Diceros bicornis minor: one gene and its partner. Each later gene encodes a partner of the first gene's protein in a complex. Links are inferred from orthologs where the notes say so. Each region holds a gene or a part of one and is shown in the gene's direction. Other genes may lie near its edges.

What was found. The genes of interacting proteins can lie anywhere in the genome.
Region 2: the proteins of LEPR (region 1) and LEP are in contact, whole or in part, in a crystal structure (PDB 7Z3R), measured with the Mus musculus proteins. The link is inferred for Diceros bicornis minor from reciprocal best matches to the Homo sapiens genes LEPR and LEP. Residues at the interface, in NP_666258.2 of Mus musculus: Tyr439, Leu440, Thr441, Arg466, Ser468, Leu469, Tyr470, Gln499, Pro500, Ile501, Phe502, Leu503, Leu504, Ser505, Val560, Phe561, Glu563, Asn564; in NP_032519.1 of Mus musculus: Lys26, Val27, Asp30, Thr33, Leu34, Lys36, Thr37, Thr40, Arg41, Gln92, Gln96, Asn99, Asp100, Glu102, Asn103, Asp106, Leu107, Leu110.

What each region holds. Positions count from the first base shown.
Region 1 is NC_080743.1:4,667,700-4,675,590, forward strand, and holds the start of LEPR (leptin receptor), read left to right. Parts: upstream 1-4,533; 5' UTR 4,534-4,583; intron 4,584-7,891. UniProt on the Homo sapiens protein: Receptor for hormone LEP/leptin. On ligand binding, mediates LEP central and peripheral effects through the activation of different signaling pathways such as JAK2/STAT3 and MAPK cascade/FOS.
Region 2 is NC_080742.1:77,267,207-77,275,052, forward strand, and holds LEP (leptin), read left to right. Parts: upstream 1-4,818; coding exon 4,819-4,962; intron 4,963-6,580; coding exon 6,581-6,940; downstream 6,941-7,846. UniProt on the Homo sapiens protein: Key player in the regulation of energy balance and body weight control. Once released into the circulation, has central and peripheral effects by binding LEPR, found in many tissues, which results in the activation of several major signaling pathways.

The sequences.
Region 1 (7,891 bases):
CTTGCAGTCCCCTAAGGTCTCGGGCCTTTTCTCCTCTGTCCTTTCCTTCCATGCTCTGCTCCCCCGCATGTGGTGCCTACACTGACCTGGTTGAACTATGGGAATCCTCACTTGACTCCTCGTGGACCCATGCTGTTTATCTTGGTAATGGTACCTGATACATAATAGATACTGATTATCTATTAATGGAAAAATAAATAATCAAAGTACAACTACCCGAAATGGTTTCCAGGGATGCTGTGAAGACTGAGTGAGATTAATAATGAGCAAACATAGTAGAGTACTAGGTAAGAAGTACTATTCTAAAGTCATAGTTATTATCTCCTTACGTTTCATGACATTTCAGAGAGGTGATTATTATCTTCTCCATTTTACAAAAAAGGAAACTGAGACAGAAAGAGGGTAAGAACTTATTCAAGGTCTCATAATAAATGTGCGTAAAAGCTCACACAATCAGATTCCAGAGCCCACAGCTTGACTATATGGCCTCCGACGCATCTAAAAGCATTTTTCAAAGTCCTTCATAATTGTAAATTTTTAAGATTTCTGTAGTAATTAAACATGTAATCAATATTTATAATTATCATTTCATTTAAAACAACTTTCTAGAAAACATTTAGAACACCATAGAGAGGGTGAAGTTTAATAGTTTAATTAAAACTATATTCAGTTAACAACAAACCTTTTTGAGTTCTATTGTAGTGGATATCTGTGCTTTTTGTCCACTTCCCCTTCAGTAAGAGCACCTTCATTTTATTTTGGGGTACCACTCTCCCCCCACTCTAAATTCTTTGGTTAGGGTGAGGTCAACTTTCCTCCCGCTCCCTGTTTTCCAGGAGTGCACAGGTGACTCACACCTGGATGGTCATCATATTCCAACTCATTGGCCACTGTGACTGGTTCAGGCATGGGCCCGTGACCCTAATAAGTTGATGAATGAGATTCAGTTTGGTAGTTATTAACATATTGGTTGATCGTTTAAAACTGAAAGAATGGAAGAGTGAGAAAGAAAGTCAAAGAGGGAAGAGGTGAACCAGAAGAGAGTTGAGTCACTGATATCATTGTTTGTAAAGAGTTTCAAGAAATGTTGCATCAGAGCCAGCCCTGATGGCCCAGTGGTTAGTTCAGCGCCCTCTGCTTCGGCTGCCCAGGCCAGTTCCCGGCACAGAACCACACCACTCTGTCAGTAGCCATGCTGTGGCGGTGCCTCATGTAGAAGAACTAGGACTTACAACTAGAATATACAGCTATGTACTGGGGCTTTGGGGAGGAAAATGAAGGAGGGGAAGATTGGCAACAGATGTTAGCTAGAGTGAATCTTTCCCAGGGGGGGAAAAAAAGAAAAACTTAAAAAAAAATGTTGTATCAATATTATGACATTAATAGTTGAATAATGTTTATGTTTTTGAAATATCAAGTGAAATACTTGGACAAAATATTTTATTCACTTTAAGTAACTATAACTTCAGTCATGATTGATTGTTCCCAGCAGGATCTGTATCTGTGCAAATAGGCATATTATTGATTTTTTTTTAAAAAGAGAAGATAGGTGATCTCATTATTTTCTTTTTTAAATCAAAGGTTTCCTTTTAAGGATTTTTCTCTCACTCGAGAAAATACTGAATGAGTCAGGGTGTTAATCTGTTTTGCTCTAATAAATCCTATCTTCTTATTATAGATGTTCTCCAGTGTGGTAATAATTGCCTACCTGATTGGTAATGATTTCTTTTACTCACCTATTCATTTGACAACTCTTTATCACGCTTCAGGTATGCAGCAGGCATATCTGTGCCAAAGGGAATGAGATTCAAAAGTGCCCCCTGACCTGGCATGTAAGCCCGCTGAGAGCTCCTGACTCAGAGCCCGGCGCCTGGCGGACACTTAGCAGTGGATCACATTATCAGAAATCCATACACATGGATGTGGGGGGTACCTCTGCATTCATGTAACAACAGTAGCTTCTGAGGAGCCACCCTTGGCCTTCAAGTATCCCCTGTGACTCAAACATGAACTGAAGGCTTGGGCCTCTGTACTTCTTTTCCTTATGGTAGTTTTTCCTCAGAATGCCCAGGTTTAATGATACTTATTTTTAGTAGTTTACAACAAAATAATTAGTTATACTTAGTATCAATATAATTTTGAATAATGGTGTTGGAATGACACCCTGATACCACAGTAGACAATGACTTTTGTCCCTATTAGTTTACTAGCTTTAGTGGGTTGAATGGTGGTTCCCCCCCAAAATAGGTCCACATCCTAAACCCCAGAACCTGTGAATGTGACCTCATTTGGATAAAGGGTCTTTGCAGATGTAATTAAATAAGGATCTGAGCTGAGATCATCCTGGATTATCTGGATGGTCCCTAAATCCAATGACAAATGTCCTTACGGTAGACAGAAGAGAAGACAACAGACACAAAGGAGAAGGCCGTGTGAAGACGGAAGGCAGAGACTGGAGTAATGCAGCGGCAAGGCAATGAATTTCTGACGCCACCAGAAGCTGGACGAGGCAAGGAAGGATTCTCTCCTAGAGCTCTGGGAGGGAGTGTGGACCTGATGCACATTGATTTTGGATTTCTGGCCTCCAGAACAGGGAGAGAATAAATTTCTGCTGTTTTAAGCATGAAGTCTGTAGTCATTTTTCAAGGCAGCCCTAGGAAACTAATGTGTTAGTTCATACTGATTATCTAATTAAGGATTCTGTTGTGTTGTTTTATTTCATAATAATTTGGGGAAGTCAGTATCTCTGCTCCAACTCTTATCTTGATCCAATGGAGACATTTGGCTGTTTTTTGAGGTTTGATGAAAACCCAAAGGTTAGTGCTTCTGGGTTATTTTTGCCTACACAGATGCCCCAGAAAGTCCATTCAGTGCACAAATATGAAATTTCTGAATAAAGTGGCCTTGATAAGTGGTCTGGAGATCTAAACGCTCTTCAGAAAATTGACACTGGTCCTGGGAGGATATTCCTGTGGGGGAAAGGTTCCATTTACAAAGCTTCACAAGATGGCAAGGTGGCTGGTCCAGGGAGCCAGGAGGCACGGCTTCCGTCCCTGCCCATCTCTGGACTGCTTTTTCTCTATGCCTTTGATGTCTCTTCCTATGAGGGTGTTAGGTGAGTTCACTTATAGAGACCTTTGAAAATTAACCATCCACTCTATCTAGAGAATGTCCACTCCCCTTTATTCTTTCTTCCTCATCCTGTTGGTTTCCTTTAAATCACCCATCCTGAGTGGTAATTATATGAATACTTGCATGTCTGTCTGTCATAACTTCAAGCTCAAGGCACATGACAACCCCACCTAGCATATTGTCTGGCACACAGTAGGTCCTCATTAAAAATGTATTAATAAAGAAGCAAATCAATGAGTGAACATTTCTAGTGGAGAGCAAGAAAATGTCTATTACTGGGATTGGAATCAGACTGTTCAAGGATGGATTTCTTAATTTTCATTTTTTTTTCCTTGCTATGTCAAAAGCCATTGAATTTCAAGATTGAAAGAGAAGTGGCCATTTAGTCCAACCCCCACTAGATGCATGAGGGCCCTCTTCAGCCTTTCTGACAAGCACGACCAAAATGCTTGGCTGAAACATCCTTGACAGGAAACTCACTACCTCGCTACTTCTGGTCTTTTCCATTTCGCTTTCCTTTCCCCCTCCTCCCAATTATAGCAATCTTTATCGTAGCATTGTGCACACCGGATGCAGCAGAGACCTGGAGGTCTGGAAGTGGGAGGATCAGAGGGAAGCCCAGTGCCTGGCCCAGAGCCTGGGAACCACGGGCTCAGGTGGGCGCGCTGCAGCTGACCGCCGGGTGCAGTAGCGGCGCCGCCTCCCCGCTGGGTTCGCCTCGGCTCTCGGCCTCCGGGCGGGCAGGGTCCCCTTCCCGAGCGCCCCGCTTCTCCTCCCCAGGCACTGCCCGCCGCCGCCCCCGGTCACCTGCGCGACCGCCCCCGCCGCTCGGGGTCCGCTCCTCCCGCCCCGGGGCGGTGGCGGCGGGCGCGGGGCGCGCGGGCGGCCCCGGCTCTTCCCTCCCTCTCCCCTCCTTCTCCCCGCGCCCCCCCGCCCCGCCTCCCGCCCTCCGCTGCCCTCCTCTCTCCGGAGAGTTGCCCGGCACCTTGGCGAGGAGTTTGGAGCCGCCGCACCGCAGAGCCACGGCCGCCCGAGCGCGAGCGACGCAGGTGCCCGAGCCGCGTGCCGCCGCCATCTCTGCCTTCCGCCCGCGTGGGACCGGCATCCAGGTGGGCCCCTTCTCTCTCCTCCCGCTCCCGCCTCCTCGTCCCGCTCCCGGCGGCTCGGGGAGCGGGCGCTGGGGCGCGCGGAGCCGCGCGGAGCCCGCGGGCCACTTGGGGACCGGGAGTCCGGAGCCCGCCCGGCGGCGCCACCAGAGGGGCCAGAGCCCGGCGGGCGGCCGGGGATCGGGAGGCTCCCGGGGCAGGAGGGTCGGGGCGCGCGGCTGAGGGCAGCCCGCCGAGCCTGGGCGCGCACCTGCTGAGCGCCACCGAAAGGACGTGCCACCCGGGCAACTTCTTTTCCAGGTCTCCTTCCTACTTTGGAAACTACAGGGACGGCGACATAAACCAGTAAGCCCTGGGGCCCGGAGGAAGGATTTGTTGGTTTGGATGACAGACGAAAAAACTTGTGCTGTAGGTTTAGAGCTGAGCCTCTGTTTTCCACCCTCCCCTGCTCTCCCCAAGCAAATTTAAAAAACGGAACAAAACCCAGTCTCCTCCAAAGCGCTCATTGAAAGGGGTTTGTAGAGGTGAGAAAAAGAGACCCAACTGAGGAGGCACTTTGGATACCCCGGGTATGAGGAGGCCGTCTGAGAAACTGATCATTGCTGGTGCTATTGCTAGGATGTGTGTTTGCAAATAGAAGATGAGTCTGGCTCCTGGAAGCCTGAGGGAGTTCCTTATATTGAGGGGTTGCCTGGAGTGTCCTCCGTTAACCTTTATTTCCATAAGTATTATGAAACAAATACTCTTTCAGAGCCCTGGACTTGGAGGTGAATGTCTGGGTTTTGGTATGATTTGCCCTTTATTATCCACAACAGCTGTATTAACTTAACCTCTCTGGGCCTCCTGTTTCCTCATCTGTCAAATTAGAGGGTTGGATTAAGATTCTGAGGGCCTTTTAATAGATCCGAGATGTTTCCCAACTTAAAAATTTATAATTCTTTAACTCTTTAACATGTTAAAACATTGCTAGATTCATAATTTCATGAAATTGAAAAAAATCTATATAGATCTTGGCATTTTGTTTACATGTGTTTATGACTTATGCTTTTAGGGTTTTCCAACCCAAAGTTAAAAACACTCATAAAAGATTTCAGAAATATATAGTTTCCATGTAAATATTTAGATCACTCTACCTTAAAGAATCATGTTCAACTTGAAGCCAGTATTTGCATCACTGCAACAAAAACGTGTCTTTAGCATAATACTTATTCTCTTTCAGTATTGTACATTTGGAGGAAATACAAATTGTTCTGGAGGAAAACAAAAATTGCACCTTTCCTGTCAAGTACTGCTTTTGAACAGTGTCTTACTTTTTAGCATAAAGTTGTGTGCAGAATATTAAAAAAATGGTTTCAGACCACTTCAGAGCCTCTCCGAAATTAAGCTCGATGGCAGAGATGCCAATTTTAGTAATGCATTTCAGTTCTTGGAATGAATCCCAGAAAATAGCAGAGGTTAACTAAACAGATAAACCAGAAATTAGGAATTGACACACACACGAAGTTGTACAAGAAGTGTGTACTATAAAGTGTCAGTGAACCTTTTATTTCCTTTTGATCAAAAACAGACAACAAACAACAGTTGGCTTGTTGAGCAGACAAAATGTTCGAATAGCTTTTGTTGTTACTAGTAATTCAAAATTATTTGAGACCTAGTCATCAGTAGTTTGGAGAGGTTTAGAAGCATCTCTGGCTCATTTTGGTGGCTTTGATCTAAAATAAAATAAGGTGTTTCCACCCAGTGTGTGCTGTGTACGCAGTTTGGGAGAGTGGAATGGATTTGAAGTACTTTTAATGAACATATTTAAACTAATTTTCATTGCCTTTTCCTTTGGGCTGGAATTTGTCTTGCCTCGTATTCTCTGGTGAAGTAGACGATCATCCCCTTTGAAACAGATGCCGAGAGTTAAGTAAATTGGGTGCTGAATGAACAGAGAGTAGTGGAACTTCAATGCCCTGGCTTCTAGGTGCTCGCTGGAAAACAACCGAAAATAGTGGATGGATCTGACCACTCACGGTCCACAGCCAACTCATTCATGGTGTGGGAGCGTCATCAGGGTTGGCAGAAGCTTTTGTAATGAATTTACTGAGAAGAAACAGTCATGTCTTCATACTTAGGTCACTGTTATATAACCAAATGGTTTGTGTTTGTGAAGTGCAATATCTCAGGGTGGGGGGGTCTTGGAAATAAAACTTAAAAATATCCAGGAAAAAAAGAATTGTCTTGGCAGACACTGTAGTGCATTTTTCATACTGAGAGCCACGCACACACACTAAAAAAATATATCCTGTGGAGTTAAAAATGAAGAAAAGGGCTTACAATCTGCTCTAATTCTTAAGATTTTATGCGATTTACAAATTCCGCTTTTAATTAAATCAGAAAGGCACCAAGGTTCCCCTACTGGCCAGACCTAGTACATATAACCTTTTGGAGTTTCAATTTAAGTTTGGTTTGCTTATAACTTGGAATATTCCTTCTCAAATACTTTTTAAAACTTCTGTGATTCAGTGATGATATTATCTATTTTTTCACACGCATGATCATATTAATCTTTAATTTTTTTTAACACTTTGTACTATGACATATACAGGGGTAAGAGGTACATAAAACAAATGTACTTGTTGACAAATAACATAGCAAATTGTTGTAACAGATAATTATAAGGCAAATACCCCATTATTCACCACACAGGTAAGACAGCATGCCAATACCCAGAAACCTCTTGCTTGTTTCTTCCTGTTCATGTTTAGTTTTACCTTAAAAAAAATCTTATATGAATATAGGAGGCATTCTTTCATAGATTCTTTTGCTTAACATTATGTTTGTGAGATTAAGCCATTTCTTTGCTCCCTTTTAAAGCAAAAACTTTTGAAAAGAGTTGTCTGTATTCCCTATCATCAGTTCAGCTCTTTACATTCTCTCTCAAACCCATTCCTATCAATCTTTTGTTTTCAGTTCTCTGCCAAAGCCGTTCCTGTTGTGGTCACCAGTGACATCCCCTTTCCTAAATCCAATAGTCCGTTGTCAGTGTTGATCTTACTTCACCTATTGGTGGCATTGTCACAGTTATCGCTCTGTGTTCTTGGTAATATTTCCTCATTGACTCCCAGGACACCACTCTTGATTTTCCTCCTTCACTGGCCGCTCCTGTCTGTCTCCTTTGCTGGTCTCTCTTCTCTTAGAGGTTTTAACCATAGAATGCCTTAAGCTTTAGTCCCTGGGAGCTCTCTTCTCTCTACACTCTTTGATGATTTCATGCAATCTCTGTATTTGTATACTGATAACTCCAAAATGATAGCTTAAGCCTTGACTTCTCTCCCTGAACTTCAGACCTCTATATCCACCTGCCTACTCAGCATTTCCATTTGGATGTCTTGTAGACATCTTCAGCTTAACGTGCTCCAAATGGAAGCTTCATCTTGCCCAAGCCTGCTCTATCTGTAGTTTTCCCCATCTCCATCCTTCAAGTTGCTCAGGCCCAAACCTTGGAGTCGTCTTTGATTTCTCCCATTCCCTCATGCCTCAGATGTAATGTGTCAGGAAATCCTCTGTGCTCTGTCTTCAAAATAAATCTGGATGTAATTACTTTCATCACCTCCAGGGTGGCCACCATCATCTCCCACAAGGATTATTGCAAGGACCTCCTAACTGGT
Region 2 (7,846 bases), on another chromosome or scaffold:
CTGAGGTCCCACTAGGACCAGCAAAGCAGCACGTTTCAAACCCTCATTCCCAGACATCTCCAAGTGCTTTTCCCAATTTTCATCACCATTCTTCTTGTCACCTGGGCTGAAATCGTTTGCCTGGAAGCAGTCAGAGCTCCTCACTTCCGCAGAAAGAAGCCTAGCCTCTCTACCTGGCCCTCACAGCCCAATGCCTCCCCACCTCCTCGCCCATCACACCTCCCATGCCAGCTGTGTGCCGCCGTCTCTGGAGCCCACTGTCCTCTTCACTGACTACCGGGACTGCCTGTCTCCTCCACCTTCACAAACCCAATTTCTCCCCATTCCCCAGGCCCTTATCAAATGCCACCTCCTCCAAGATGCCTCCTTGATTCCTTAGCTGGAAATAACAATGATAACAGCTAACATGCATTGGTGATGGCCACGTGCCAGGCACAGAGCTAGCACTTCACATGCATTATCTCATTTCATCCGCTTAACAGCTGTGGGTGGAAATTATGATTTGTATCATCCCTGTTTTACAGCTAAGAAAACTGAGTCTCAGAGAGGTTAGCAAACTTTCCAAAGTCCTATACTCCACCTCAAACATAGCTCTGCTAAACTCTAGAACTCATGATTTTATGCACGACTCTCTCCCCTGAGTTACCCAAGACATTTTATCTGTTTTTTTTAACTGAATTGTTTGCCTTTTTTTATTATTGAATTGTAGCAGTTTTTTTTTTAAACTTTATTTATTTATTTTCCCCCCAAAGCCCCAGTAGATAGTTGTATGTCATAGTTCCACATCCTTCTAGTTGCTGTATGTGGGACGCAGCCTCAGCATGGCCGGAGAAGCGGTGCGTCAGTGCGCGCCCGGGATCCGAACCCGGGCCGCCAGCAGTGGAGCGCACGCACTTAACCGCTAAGCCACAGGGCCGGCCCCTATTTTATCTGTTTAAATGCTCTTCCTTGCATTGTAGTTAACTAGGTAAGTTCTTAAATCAGTTGTTTAAGAGCACGGTTTTGTTCTTTACTCTTATTTTCAACAAATAATATATATAAGTAGCTGACAACGTCAAATACTGTGGTATTCTATCTGGGCTTCCTGGGAAAGCCACCAGTCTTCAGCCCAGCCCTCCTCACTCCTGATTTCCAATTTCCTGTGGTTCCATGTCTCTTTCATCTCTGTACTTGGCCCACAGTGGGCGATCAATACATGTTAGCTGTTAGCCATCAAATACGTAGTAACTGTCATGTGCCAGGTGCTGCTCAATGAAGTTGTAGTTGCTGTCTTGAATTATCCCTCCTCCCTGGTCCCTAAACCCTGGCTCTTACCAGTCATCCCGCCCACCTTCTCCAGCCATGCCCAGGCCACGTCAGGTACTGACACTCAGGTGAACCAAGGAAGACTTGATGATCACTCTTTTCTGATGCCCGTGTCCGGCTGTATAAATTGGTTAGCATTAAGTTTGCCTGCATTTAGCAGAGACCCAAAATAACAGTGGCTTAGTCAAGACGGAGGTTATGTCTCTCACACACACAGCACAAGTCCAGAGATAGGCAGTCCAGACCAGTATGGCATCTCGGCTCCACGAAGTCCTCTGGGACCTGGGCTCCTCCAGCTCCTTACTCTTCCATTCATAAGGTGAGGCCCACATCCTCATGATCCAAGATGGCGCCAGAATGCTGGCTACCGCAGGCATCAGGATGGAGGAAGGGATGAAAAAGGAAGAGGCAAAGTCATCCAACATGAGAGCTGCCGCATGGCACTTCTGCTTTTATTTAATTGGCTAGAATTTAGTCACGTGGCCATACCTAGTTGGGAGAAACTGGGAAATATAGTATTTATTCTGGAGGCCACATCCCTATCTGAACTTGGATGTTCTATTACTTGGGAAGAATACATATTGGGGACAACTAGCAGGCAGCCTCTACTGAAAGGGTTAGGTGTGTTGGTGTGTGTGTGTATGTGCATGTATGATGTGGGTGTTGTGTGAGCATGTGTGTTATGTGTTGTGTGTGTTGGTGGGCCAGGTTGTCTCCATCACTTTTGTCTCAGATGGACCTGTTACACGTTCTCTCGGCAGTCTCCCATGGGGCTCCCCTAAACCTGGCCTCTCCTCTTAGGCAGACAGCAGCAGCTTCTCAATCCCGTGTTTCAAGGAACTGCAATTCATTTTCAGCATCCACTGAAGCATATTATCAGTGGTGATAGAGGGGGCTTATAAAACTGTTTTTCCATTTAGGTATTACAGGGTGGCCATTATGTGAGAGTGACTATGACCAGAGTTAACCTGGTAATAAATTCTCTTAGGAAGGAGGGTGTCATTAACTCATGAATCCTAGAAAAGGATATTGCTCAAGCTTTTGCTGCAGGAGGAAGGCCCAGAAATACCAGGCACCCTGTTGAGATGGTCCAGGAGAGGCAAAAGGCCAAATGCTAGATTCAGGGTTGGCTACAGGTAGTGTTGCCTGAGTGTTTCAAGCCCTGCCCAGTAATTACACAACTAAAAAAAATCTGACATTACCTCCACACTTTGGCCCACACACTCAATGGGCAGGGGCTCTACTGGTTCATCTCGTTTACTTTTTAGAGCCGGGTGGTGTTATGAGTTCCATTTTACTGATGGGAACAGATGCTTTAGGGAAGTTAAGTGTCTTGCCCAGAGACACAGCTAATGAGGGCAGAGCCCGCTGCTGAAGCCTTGGGGCCTAACCACTATGCTTTCCACCTTTGCTAGGGTTTCATGGAATCCTACTAGGGAGTTAGCACTATTTAACTGCATTCCACAAACACATGGTGGAAATGTTCACTCAGGTAATGAGTAGTTAATAGAGGGAGTTTTAACTTTTAAGAGAAAAAACAAGCACAAAAACATCTGAAGTGCCCCCTCCCAAACTCCTTAGTATTTTTCATATTTGAAGTTGATATGGGGGTGCCATCTCATAGCTTCCTCCTAGAGCAGGTATTAGTTCCCAAGTGCCATGGTCCCAAGACGTACCCTCAGTCGGGCATTGGAGTGGTTTGTAACTCGGGCTTTGCCTTAAAGGCCAGAGAAACTGGGGGGAGGGGGGCAAGTAGGAAGCAACCTAGCCCTTCTGAATCCCAGGATTCACCCCTGGGATGTCTGGGTGTGAATCCGGCTCTACCACTCACCCGTTTGACTTCGGGCAATTAACACATCTTCTTGAGTCTCATTTTTCCCTTTCTATAAAATTCAGATAAAAATCATACCTTTGATCAAGCATTATAAATAATATATAAGCAGACTGCTTATTTCTATTATATTGCCATTATATGGATTATACTACTATTGCCACCTATGGACAGAAAATGTATTACCTATTTTTATCAAGACCTAGATCAGGTAAAACACAAAAAGCAGAGATTAGCTTTTTGCCATCTCCAGAACCTTCATGCCAATATTTACTTACATTTGATTATTGCTTCAGGCCCATCCACACATACTTAGCGTGGATCATTGGCCACAGACTCGTGTACGTTTAACTGTATTACTTTTTGCCTCATGAATCTCATTAAAAATTTGCTGCTTAATCAAGGATCTGCGTATTATTAATGTTAGAATTCATGGTTCCATGACTTTGGAAGTTTCAAATATTCTGAGTGACATGTTATACATTCTCTCCTGCCTCCATGCCTTTGCACCAGCTGCTTTCTTGGCCGTCATGGCAACCACTTTCTACTCTTACTAACTCCTACTCGGTATTTAATTTTTTTTTTTTTAATTTAATTAATTTATTTTTTCCCCCAAAGCCCCACTACATAGTTGTATGTCATAGCTGCACATCCTTCTAGTTGCTGCATGTGGGGCGCGGCCTCAGCATGGCCGGAGAAGCGGTGCATCGGTGCGCGCCCGGGATCGAACCTGGGCCACCAGCAGCAGATCACGCGCACTTAACCTCTAAGCCACGGAGCCGGCCCTACTCGGTATTTAATACCCTGCTCAGGCGACACCTCTTCCAGGGAGCCCCCTTTGTACACCCGTGATATCCTGTACTTGTCTTTCTTGCAAAGCTCTTTCTTCCTGTATTGGAATGGCCTGTTTACCTGTTTCTCTCTCCTATTAAATTGTAAGCAACTTAAGAACATCTGTTGTTCACTATTATGTCCTTGGTGCCTAGCACTGCATCTGACATATTATCAGATCTCCCATAAGTACTGGTTGGCTTCACACTCCCGGTGAGAGAGAAAGGAAGTAATAAAGGCAATGATAAATGCCATCATGGAGATATCAGCAGGCTGCTGTGGGAGAGTAATGGAGAGGACAAGTAACATAATCTCTAACAAGAGGGTGGTGATAGAGTATGTCTCACAACACCTCTCAAGCTCTTTCACGTGCATTATCTAATTTGATCCTCGTAGAAGCCTGGAGATAGGTATGTTGCAGGGGTGGAAGGTAGAGTTTTTAGCAGCTATGTGATATGCCTAAAGTCATGCAGCTAGTAAAGGGCTGGATTCAAACCAGACCTTAAAAGCCCATTCTCCTCCTTAAAGCACACAGTGCGTCACTTCATCATCACAATGTCCCTTTGCTCACACCCTGGCTTATTGCTTTGTGGTCTACAGCACACCTCATCGTGGTTTTATTGATCAAGCCTTGCATCTCCCCAAGAGAATGCATTTCATTAATGTATTTCTAGATAATGAATTGTCTTTGACTCTGAGGAGATGATAGCCAGGGCAGAAAGAAATCTCATTTTTATCCACATCTGGTAATGTGGTTGGTCATGGCATAGGGGTGTTTTCTGAGATATCAGCAATTTTCAATGTATAGTTCCTTCTGTTTTCAGGACCAAGAAGCACATTCTGGAAGGAAAATGCATTGTGGACCGCTGTACCAATTCCTGTGGCTTTGGCCCTATCTGTTCTACATTGAAGCTGTGCCCATCCAAAAAGTCCAGGATGACACCAAAACCCTCATCAAGACGATTGTCACCAGGATCAATGACATTTCACACACGGTAGGGAGGGTCTGGGGAGATGAAGTAGAACTGTGGCTGGCCCACGGGGACACCAGGACCTCAGAGGTTAGCTGAGGCCTGTGCAGCAACATGTAGGGGCCATGGTGGCCTTGACTTCTCCCTACTGCATGAGCAGCTGCCTCTTTTCTTCCTCTCCCCTCTGTCTCCCGCCACCTCCTTACTCTCCTTCCTCCCCGACCTGAATCCCAGGATTCACTTCCTTGAATCCTAGTGCCTAGAACCAGAGGATACATAAAAGTCCTTGTGTTCCATTGGTAGGTGACCAGACCCCCAGCAGCATCCTCTCTGGGCCTATCCCATCTCTAGAACGTGCTTATCAGTAGGCGGTCTTCCTGGTTGAGCTGAACTCTGGCCCTGTGCCGCTTCCCCGATTACTGCTAGTCCTGCCTGTCAGGCCACACAGAAAAGCAAGTCTACCCTCTTTCACATACAACCTTCTGTGTATCTGCAAACAGCTGTCAATGCCCCCTGGGTCTTTGCTCTGGGGCTGACAGATCTAGACCTTCAGCCGTTTCCCAGGTGAGTTCTGTATTTGGAATTAGGGAGACTAAGTGTGAATCTTCACACTTCTGTTCTCTGTCTGTAAAACCTTAAGCTGGATCCTCAATGTCTTTAAGCCCTGGTTTCATCATCAAGATATTGAGACTATCGTAAGGTCCTCACAAGGTTGCTATGAGATTAAATTAGATAAAGCAAGTGAAAACACCTCCCACCACCCCCGCCCCACCCTGCAGAATCAGAAGAGAGTGTGCCCTCATTAAAGGTTTGCAGTTGTGTTTTTTGGTAGCCCCCAGCCTTAAAAGCCTGCTTGTTCACCCTGCATGGAGCAATCTGGAGACTTCCACATCTCCTGGCTACTGTGGATGACTCACAGTGGCCTTGTGCAGCCAGGAAGAAGTTAGGTGGCCAGAAGCAGGGACAGCTCAGAGCTAGATAGTCTTGGGAATTTCATACAGAGAAACCCTTAAGTCTCCTTGCTTTAAAAATAGTCATCCGAAAGGCTGCACGTGATAGATCCAGAGCATCCCAACCTGTGTGGTGCAGGGAGTGAGTGCTGCGGGCAGGGGGGAAGGGGAGTTACCCTCCTGGTAACCAGAGTTACTGGAGCAGAGGAGTGAGGTGGGGCACTTGCTGGGGGGACAGCCTTGACCCCTAAGGGGGTGAGACTCCATGGAGATCCTGATTGGGAGGGAGGAGTCCGCAGGGGGTGGAAGGGAACGAGGATGGCTGGGGAGGGGGCGCTATAGAGGACTTCAGATGCCTGAGGTAGAGACTAAACTAAGTAAGAAATAGGGAGCTCTGGCTGGTTCTATAGCAGAGGCCATTTGGAGAAGGAAACGACCTGAGAAGTTTGGTCTGGAGGTGGGAGGCAGGGTGGTTTGGGAAAGACGGGAAGACAGAAGGCCAGGAGGCCAGCTTGGAGGCTTGGCAGCCACCTGGGCATAAGAAGTAAGGCCTAGGCCAGGATGGTGCCAAAGAGGGAAAGGAGGCAACCAAGAAAGTGAGCCTCCGTGCTCGTGGGAAATACTGAGGGCTTTGCAGAATTCACTCTCTCCCGCCTCGCTAAGCTCTTGCTCTCCCTCTTCCTCCTGCACAGCAGTCAGTCTCCTCCAAACAGAGGGTCACTGGTTTGGACTTCATTCCTGGGCTTCACCCTGTCCTAAGTTTGTCCAAGATGGACCAGACATTGGCGATCTACCAACAGATCCTTACGAGTCTGCCTTCCAGAAATGTGATCCAAATATCTAATGACCTGGAGAACCTCCGGGACCTTCTCCACCTGCTGGCCTCCTCCAAGAGCTGCCCCTTGCCTCAGGCTAGGGGCCTGGAGACGTTGGTGAGCCTGGGCGGTGTCCTGGAAGCCTCCCTCTACTCCACAGAGGTGGTGGCCCTGAGCAGGCTGCAGGGGTCTCTGCAGGACATGCTGCAGCAGCTGGACCTCACCCCTGGGTGCTGATGTCCTGAAGGCCTCTCTTCCCCCAAGGACCAAAGTCAAAGGAAGAAACCTGGGCTCCCAGGTGTCTCCAAGAGAAGAGAGCCCGTGTGGACATCCTTCATCCAGGACTCCAGTCTGTTTCTCTGTCACTCCTCTAAGCCGCCCTTCCAAAGGCATAAGACTTCAAGGCAAGTTGCTTGAAACCAAAGATATAAATACCTGATTCCATGCTCACCCATCCAGCAAACAGTGGACTGGATCTGGGATTCTCACCAGTCTTCCTCTCTGTTCTACCTCCCCTCTCACTGCATGCTTCAGTGTGACCTGGGATGATCTCAGGAGGTGGGCTGCAGAGCCTTTGGACGATCAAGCAAGGTTCCGTCTGAGAACTCTGGGGAGCACCATGAAGGCTACATCCACGCTTAGCTGGAAACTCTCAAGCAACACAAGTTGGAAACATTTATTTATTATGCATTTTATTCTGGATGGATTTGAAGCCAAACGTTACCTTTTCCAGGCTCTTTGGGGTTGGCCAGGGCTAGGGATGCTCCTGGGGTGCTGTTACCAGTCCCATCAATAGGCCTGGCCAAGGCAAATCCACTTCAAGTGACTTGAGGGCTCTCCAGTAAGTTCTCTCATAACTGGCTTTGTTTCTACTGTGACTTTAAACTACAGTGTTTGCAATGGCATTGCCCTGAGTGGATCTCCAAGGGCCAGGTTATTTTAAAAAGAAGAAGATGAGTTTTGTCAAGTATAGCTGTGTGCACCTGGAGGTAGGAAATGTGTTGATGGAGGAGGAAGGATCCAGAATGTATTTTCTGAGTAACATTTGTGTGATGGGCTCTTTGGATGGGGTGGAGTCATTTTCTCATCTTCTGCAACCACTTAGTGTGGTTTTCTTGAAAATAAGTAGATGGAAGTGACTCC